Linked DNA regions of Sus scrofa. The protein of the gene in region 1 interacts with the protein of each later gene in a biochemical or structural test. Links are inferred from orthologs where the notes say so. Each region holds a gene or a part of one and is shown in the gene's direction. Other genes may lie near its edges.

Evidence for each region.
Region 2: the proteins of EIF4G1 (region 1) and EIF4A1 form a complex in vitro, tested with the Homo sapiens proteins (3 studies listed by IntAct, with this or other methods). The link is inferred for Sus scrofa from reciprocal best matches to the Homo sapiens genes EIF4G1 and EIF4A1.

What each region holds. Positions count from the first base shown.
Region 1 is NC_010455.5:122,202,250-122,206,536, forward strand, and holds the start of EIF4G1 (eukaryotic translation initiation factor 4 gamma 1), read left to right. Parts: upstream 1-1,256; 5' UTR 1,257-1,409; intron 1,410-1,861; exon of another isoform or gene 1,862-2,229; 5' UTR 2,230-2,286; intron 2,287-2,503; 5' UTR 2,504-2,537; coding exon 2,538-2,597; intron 2,598-2,833; exon of another isoform or gene 2,834-2,893; coding exon 2,894-2,980; intron 2,981-3,465; coding exon of another isoform or gene 3,466-3,486; intron 3,487-4,031; coding exon 4,032-4,208; intron 4,209-4,287.
Region 2 is NC_010454.4:52,871,434-52,874,700, forward strand, and holds the end of EIF4A1 (eukaryotic initiation factor 4A-I), read left to right. Parts: intron 1-363; coding exon 364-532; intron 533-856; coding exon 857-966; intron 967-1,118; coding exon 1,119-1,262; intron 1,263-1,339; coding exon 1,340-1,477; intron 1,478-1,612; coding exon 1,613-1,702; intron 1,703-1,967; coding exon 1,968-2,047; intron 2,048-2,146; coding exon 2,147-2,291; 3' UTR 2,292-2,503; downstream 2,504-3,267. UniProt on the Homo sapiens protein: ATP-dependent RNA helicase which is a subunit of the eIF4F complex involved in cap recognition and is required for mRNA binding to ribosome.

The sequences.
Region 1 (4,287 bases):
CAGAGAACACTCTAGATCTTTCATTTTTCTATGGTTCCTCCTCTATGTGTCTATTCTGCTCTCCTTTCTTTGGAGCATCAGTTACTCATCCAATGGGAATAATGATACAATCCATTTTGTAAGAAGTTGTAAGGATTGAGATCACAAGGGTCATATATTCAGAGTGACCAGTTCATCATTGGTGCCAAAGAAATTGTTTTCCTGTGAGATTATATGTGTTTGGATACAGAAGGGGGCAGATGTGGAGGAGAGAGAAGAAATAGCCTTTGCTAGGCACCTAGGCACTGTTTTAAGCACTTTCACAGGAATTAACTCCTTTAAATCCTCACAATGGTGGGTAAAAGTTCAAACTTGAGCTAGACTGCCTAGTTTCAAGTATTTCCTTTTTTTTTTTGTCATGCCCATGGCTTCCTGCAGTTTCTAATTTCTAAGCTAGGGATCAAACCTGTGCCACAGCAGTGACACCAGCCAATGCAGCTGAGCCACACAGAAACTCCAAATAGTTCCATTTTACAACCTATAAGTAAGTAGTAGAGTTTGGATTAAATTCTGGGGCTGACTAGGAGTAAGTAGATTTGACTCTAGTATGTCCCTTCAGGCAGTTTAAAATCTTTTGGCTACTGGGCAGGGAGGGGTCTTGGGATTACTTGTTCCACCACTATTTGAAGTTTGTGTGATTGCTTTTAGTTCCTCCCTGGGAATGGCCGATTTTTATTCTTTATAAAAGACAAATCTAGTAGTTCCCTTATTAAAGATCCCACGTTGTCACTGCAGCGGCTCGGGCTGCTACTGTGGCACGGATTCCATCCGAGGTCAGGGGACTTCCATATGCTGGAAGATGTGGCAAAAAAAAAAAAAAAGAGACAAATTTACTAATTCCCTAGTTAGAATGTTTCAATCCTTATTAAACATATAAACATTCAGTTTAATAAGTCTTTTATTGATCTAATCTACATTACTTTCAAAGGCTGCCTAACGTGTGTTTCTTTCCGCATTTGTACCATGATTTACTTCGGCAGGACTGAGTCTTTAATTTCAGTATTCTCAGCCCCCTGCCAGCACTTAGCCTAGCATTCAGTATGCACTCAATAAATGCCTGCTCAAAGTATGAATGAACTAAAGAATCGCGGAACTGAGTCGCAGAGGGGGATCGGTCTGGGAATTCCAAAGTTCGGGAGGGGACACGGGGGCGGGCAGTGGCTGTCACATGACTAGGCGGGGCAAATCCCATGTGCTTCGCGGCACCGGGCAAGGCTCCGCCCTCTGCGCCGGTCACGTGGGGGCGCCGGCTGCGCCTGCGGAGAAGCGGTGGCCGCCGAGCGGGATCCGTGCGGGGAGCCGGAAATGGTTGTGGACTACGTCTGTGCGGCTGCGTGGGGCTCGGCCGCGCGGACTGAAGGAGACTGAAGGTAAAGCCGCCATGTCCGGGCCCGACCCGGCCCCCCCATCCCCTCCCCCCGCATCCGCCGCCATCCGGGCCGGGACCGGCTACCCTGCGCCGCCTCCCCGGCGCCCTGGCTCCTCGGCCCAAGCCCGGGCCCCGGGCCGCCAGGGCCCGATCCCCGGCCCACGTGTGCCCGGCCTGGCCCGGCCTGGCTGCTGGGTGGGGGTGGGGGAGCGCGGGGCCGGAATATGCGGTCCCCGCGGGCTGGGAGGGCGCCGGGTTTCCCGGCTGCTAAGTGCCACCTCGGCCCGACCCGAGGAGGCCCTACGGGCGCAGGCACCGCGACTCCCGGCCCGCCGCCCCCTCCCCCCTTTGCGGCCCGGCCGCCGGGAAGTGACACGTTGTTCTTTGGCACTGGCCGGCGCTGCGCAGGGAGGGCGCAGGGGAGGGAGGCGGCGGCGGCGGGCAGGGAGGAGCCCCCGGCCCCGCCCGCCCTCCAGGCCGACCCTCACTTGCTTCAAACCGGCTCTTCTTCGGCCGCCGCCCGCCTGGCCTTTTACGGCCCGACTGCCGCTTTTCCTGGCCTCCACTCCTGGGCGGCGGCAGGCCTCGCCTCTAGCCCCGTGCGGGTGCACCCGCGGCCACCCGCGGCAGGCGTGCCTTGTGTGCCCCTGGGCCAGGCCCCGAACCCGGTGTCCCCGGGTGGGGGGTGGGGACACCACGGCCGAAGCTGCTAGCTCCGTTTGTGATCCGGGAGCCTGGTGCCAGCGAGACCTGGAATTTCCGGTCTGGTTGGTCTTGGGCCCCGCGGAGCCAGGTTGATACCCCCCACCTCCCAACCCCAGGCCCTCGGATGCCCAGAACCTGTAGGCCGCACCGTGGATTTATTCTTAACCGAGGGGGTGAGTGAGGGGCTGTTTCAGCAGATCAGGGGGGGTGGTTGGAGCTGCGGGTCTGACAAGGTGTCGGTGGGGACATAGGCTGGGTTTTATGCTCCTTCACCTTTTTGGCGATTCCGGGGCTTGTTGTGGGACCCAGACCTTGCTTCATCCCTCCCCCACTCCATTTGCCTTAAGCTTGGGTCCCTTCCCCTTTCCGAGCTCCGCTCTTTCCCAACAGGTGCTGGGGGGACCCTGATGTGGCACCAAATGAAATGAACAAAGCTCCACAGCCCACAGGCCCCCCACCTGCCCCATCCCCTGGACTCCCACAGGTAATTAGGGAGGAATTAGCAGCAACTGGGGTGGGGGTGGGGGAGACCAGGCAGCCGGGTCAGGAACAGGTTCCAACCTCTGGATTTTCCCACCCCCTTCTGTGTCAGGGCAAAGTGCAGCTTCCTGCTGCCAAATTGAGGCAGGGCCCCGGGGCTGTTCTTAGGGGCTGTCTTGGGGAGGGTATATGTGGACTGTTGAGGCTCTTGCCACAGCTCTGCTCCCCTTACTTCACCAGCTTGAGTTTCTGCCCCACCTGGGTTTCCCCTCTTGCTGAATTCTGGTCTCCCCCCTTCAGCCAGCGTTTCCCCCGGGGCAGACAGCACCGGTGGTGTTCAGTACGCCTCAAGCGACACAAATGAACACGCCTTCTCAGCCCCGCCAGGTGAGGGGCTGTGGGGAGGGGAGTAGGGGGCCTGGGTGGGAACCATGTGAAGCTTAGGCCAGTTTGGGCCTAGGATGGAAACTATGGAGGCCTTGTACCTGCCCCAACTTCCTGACAGTTGCTTTCATGCGGTTCTGCACTTTGCACTGTTGATTACTTACGGTGGCTGGCCCCTTGGAGTATGTAGTTGGTGGGGATGGCATTCCTAGGGGTCCTGGTGCCTTGGGGGCAGTGCTTTGGGCCCTGCTGCCAACTCCTGCTTTCCTGTTTTCTTTTACTGGGAGGTTGCCATTGCTCCATTCCCCATCCATCTTTCTCTTTTGGACTGTGGCAAGATAAACACTCCAGCTAGTTCTTGCCTTTCTCTGTTCCCTAAATTCTTCCTCACAAGTGGGAGAGGATTCTTGTCCTGCTTCCTTCATTTTCTTTCCCTCCTCATCACCTTGGGGATAATTCTTTTCTTTCCTGTCCCCATGTGCTCTCAGGGAGGATTCAGGTCTCTGCAGGTAATACCCCATTGCTAATCCTGAACTCTCTCCGGGTCTCACCCTTACACTCTGCCCTAGTCAGGGGCTAGACTCAGTCTGGGTCCTCAGTCTGAGGCTGACCGATGCATGTTAGGGGCTAAATCTTGTGTAGTTCACATCTGGGAACTGGGAGACTGTTGCATGTTAGCGGTGAGCTCCTCAGTACCTTAGGGTGGAGCAGTGCATGCTGGGGAGTATGTTGCTGAAAAAGGCTTTACTTAGGCATGATGCATCTGGGTGTTAGGAAGCCTCTGCTGAAGGATAGCCTGGTGAGGTGATCTGAGTATGCATGGCAGGGAGGGAGTAAATATACAGAGTGCCAAGTGTATACCTGAGTTTGGAGGGCGTATGTGAGTATAAGAGGCCACTTAGCCATCACTTGGTCAAGTGAGTCTTGGAAGTGTTGGTCTTCATGCTCCAAAGCCCCTGGTACTTCTCTCCTGACTAGAGACATAGTGGAATGGCCCTTTTGCTGTCCACCTCCTCCCCTTCCCATTGCCAACTGCCTTCCTCCCTCCTGACAGCACTTCTACCCTAGCCGGGCCCAGCCCCCGAGCAGTGCAGCCTCCCGAGTGCAGAGTGCAGCCCCTGCCCGCCCTGGCCCAGCTGCCCATGTCTACCCTGCTGGATCCCAAGTAATGATGATCCCTTCCCAGATCTCCTACCCAGCCTCCCAGGGGGCCTACTACATCCCTGGACAGGTGAGGCTGGAGGCTTGGGGGCTGGAAGCCACAGAACCTTGTACCCTCCCACCCTCCCCCCTCCCCTCCAGTCCCATCT
Region 2 (3,267 bases), on another chromosome or scaffold:
AGTGAGTGTTTAATAGTGCTTGAGTTGTTGGGAAAAATAAATTCATAAGCATTTTTTCCCCCCTGGGGCCACACCTGTGGCATACGGGGAGGTTCCCAGGCTAGGGTTCCAATTGGAGTTGTAACTGTCGGCCTACACCAGAGCCATGGTAACATTGGATCCAAGCTGCCTCTGCTGCCTATACCACAGCCCACGGCAATGCAGGATCCTTAACCCACTGAGCAGGGCCAGGGATCGAACCCACAACCTTATGGTTCCTAGCCAGATTTGTTAATCACTGAGGCACGACAGGAACTCCAGTACATAAGCATTTATGAGATGGAGCCTGGTGACTATAGCTAACACAGCATTTTATCTTTTCAGATACAGAAGGTGGTTATGGCATTAGGAGATTACATGGGTGCTTCCTGCCATGCCTGCATTGGTGGTACCAATGTGCGTGCTGAGGTGCAGAAGCTACAGATGGAAGCTCCCCACATCATCGTGGGTACCCCAGGCCGTGTGTTTGATATGCTTAACAGGAGATACTTGTGTGAGTGTCTCAATTTTCCAGGTCTCTGGGTCACTTCCTTAAGCATGTTTTCCCAGTTTTTTTTTTTTTTTTTTTAAGCATTGCTCTGTGATGAACCCCATGCGTGTCATCTGAGCCTGGCTTCCCTGTCAGCTCAGCCCAGGTAGTGTTCTACTTCTCAGGGCTGTTGTCTGGCCTTGCAAGGGGCTCACAGGCAAAGGATCAATCTTTGTATTCTGAGAGCAGACCACCTATCTCCTATTCTTTATCTGGGAAGAAGTGAAAGTATATCTTACCTTTTTTAAATACCTGTTGGTGTGTGTGTGTTTTTTTTTCTTTTGTTAGCTCCCAAATACATCAAGATGTTTGTATTGGATGAAGCTGATGAGATGTTAAGCCGAGGGTTCAAGGACCAGATCTATGACATATTCCAAAAGCTCAATAGCAACACCCAGGTGAGAAGAACATTGGGGTTTTGCTCGTGTGAGTGGTGATTCCTTTGTACGGATGGTAGTGTTCTCGGGGTGAGAGACCATTACAAAGTGCCAGACAAACCATAAAGCTCTGGAGGACCTGCTACCTCCCCTGAGACTGTTGTCCCCATTAGGTGGTTTTGCTGTCAGCTACAATGCCTTCTGATGTGCTGGAAGTGACCAAGAAGTTCATGCGGGACCCAATTCGAATCCTTGTCAAGAAGGAAGAGCTGACCCTGGAGGGTATTCGCCAATTCTACATCAATGTGGAACGCGAGGTGGGGCCCAGTGCAGGAGGCGGGCCTGGCAGGAAGGCGGGGGGATAGCCCCTGACTGATTTCTCCCCCACCCCCAGGAGTGGAAGCTGGACACCCTGTGTGACTTGTACGAAACCCTGACCATCACCCAGGCAGTCATCTTCATCAACACCCGAAGGAAGGTCGACTGGCTCACGGAGAAGATGCACGCCCGAGACTTCACCGTCTCTGCTATGGTGAGCGCCCGCCGCCACCGCTGCGGCCGTGGTTTCCCAGCAAGAGGGGGGCTGTCACAGGCCTACTTCCCCAGCCAGTTCTCGCTGAACCAGCACACCTACCTGCTAACAGCCGCCTTCTGTTTCCTGTTGTAGCACGGGGACATGGACCAGAAAGAACGCGACGTCATCATGAGGGAGTTCCGCTCGGGCTCCAGCAGAGTGTTGATTACCACGGATCTGCTGGTGAGTAGAAGCTGAGTAGAAGCGAGTGTGAGAAGACTGGGGACCAAGGGCGGATCCAAGGTGATTCCCTCTCCAAGGGGCCTGCTTGTGCCCCTCTTCTGGAAAGTAGCAGCTTGGAATAACATCTGGCAGGCCTGAGGCTCTGGCGGCGAGGGGCTGTAAACATCCTCTGCCTGCCTTGGGCTGCCCACACACACGCCTCTCCTGGACAGACTCCTCCCTCTCCCTGGAGTCACCCACTGAAGCCGCCTTCTCTCCCACACAGGCCAGAGGCATCGACGTGCAGCAGGTTTCCTTAGTCATCAACTATGACCTTCCCACCAACAGGGAAAACTACATCCACAGGTAAAGACACCTGCCAGGCTGCCCCCCCCCGCCCAGTCCTCCCTGCACAGCAGCGCCCCGGTCTTCCCCATCTTCCTCATACTCTAACTTGTTTCCCAGGATCGGTCGTGGCGGACGTTTTGGCCGTAAGGGTGTGGCTATTAACATGGTGACAGAAGAAGACAAGAGGACTCTCCGGGACATTGAGACCTTCTACAACACCTCCATCGAGGAGATGCCCCTCAATGTTGCTGACCTCATCTGAGGCGCTGCTCTGCTCTCCCAGCCCCAGCCAGGGATCCGACCTGTCCTTGAGGGGGGCTGAGGAACAGCAGCAGGGGGGAGGGAAGGGAGCCAAGGGATGGACATCTTGTCATTTTTTTCTTTTTTTTTTTTTTTCTTTGAATAAATGTCACTTTTTGAGGCAAAAGAAGGAACCATGACCATTTTAGACACCCTTTTCTTTGGGGCAGGCTCTTGCCCCAGGCGCCGGCTCTTCTCCCAGAAACACTAATCCATTTCCCTAACCTCGTCAACTTTCAAACCCAAGGCTCTCCCCACCCCAGCTGAATTCTGAAAATAATTCAGTGGGGGCTGTAATGCCCCTCCACCTCATTTGCTGGACCAAATCTGGAGGGAGAGCCCGAGTTAAGTGGCCCAGGGCACTGTCCCCAGGTGGGGGGGGAGCAGGGGAAAGAACATGGTAGCCATTTTTACATTGTTTTTGTATAGTATTTATTGATGCAGGAAAACAAACACAAAATTCTGAATAAAATAACTTGGAAACTGCTTTGGCTTCTCATTTCTTACCTCTCCTTCCCCTACCCCGCTACTGGGTAGGTACAGCTCTGCTCCCCTGCTGAACTGGGTAACCGGTAACATGACTCTTAGGAAGGGGCTGGGCCAGCACAGTCATAAGCAGCTCACATGTCTCTAGGCAAAGAGGAAGTGATCTGAGCCCAGAGAAAGGGGAAATCAAAGTTGTGATCTTTACACCCCGTTGAGCTTGGGGGGTGGGGGGCTGTGGCTGCAGGCTCTGGTCCTTTGATCACCTGCAACCCCTGAGCATATTTTCCTGAGGTGGACAAGAGTCTCCCAGGATCGACTACCCCAAACTCCCTTCTCACGTAACACAGTGCCCACTTTGGAAATGCCAGGGCTAATCACTAGGTGACACAAATTTGATGACTCAGGAGATTAGTGGCTGGAGCTGAGGTGCCTGAGTCAAGTTGGGGGCGGGG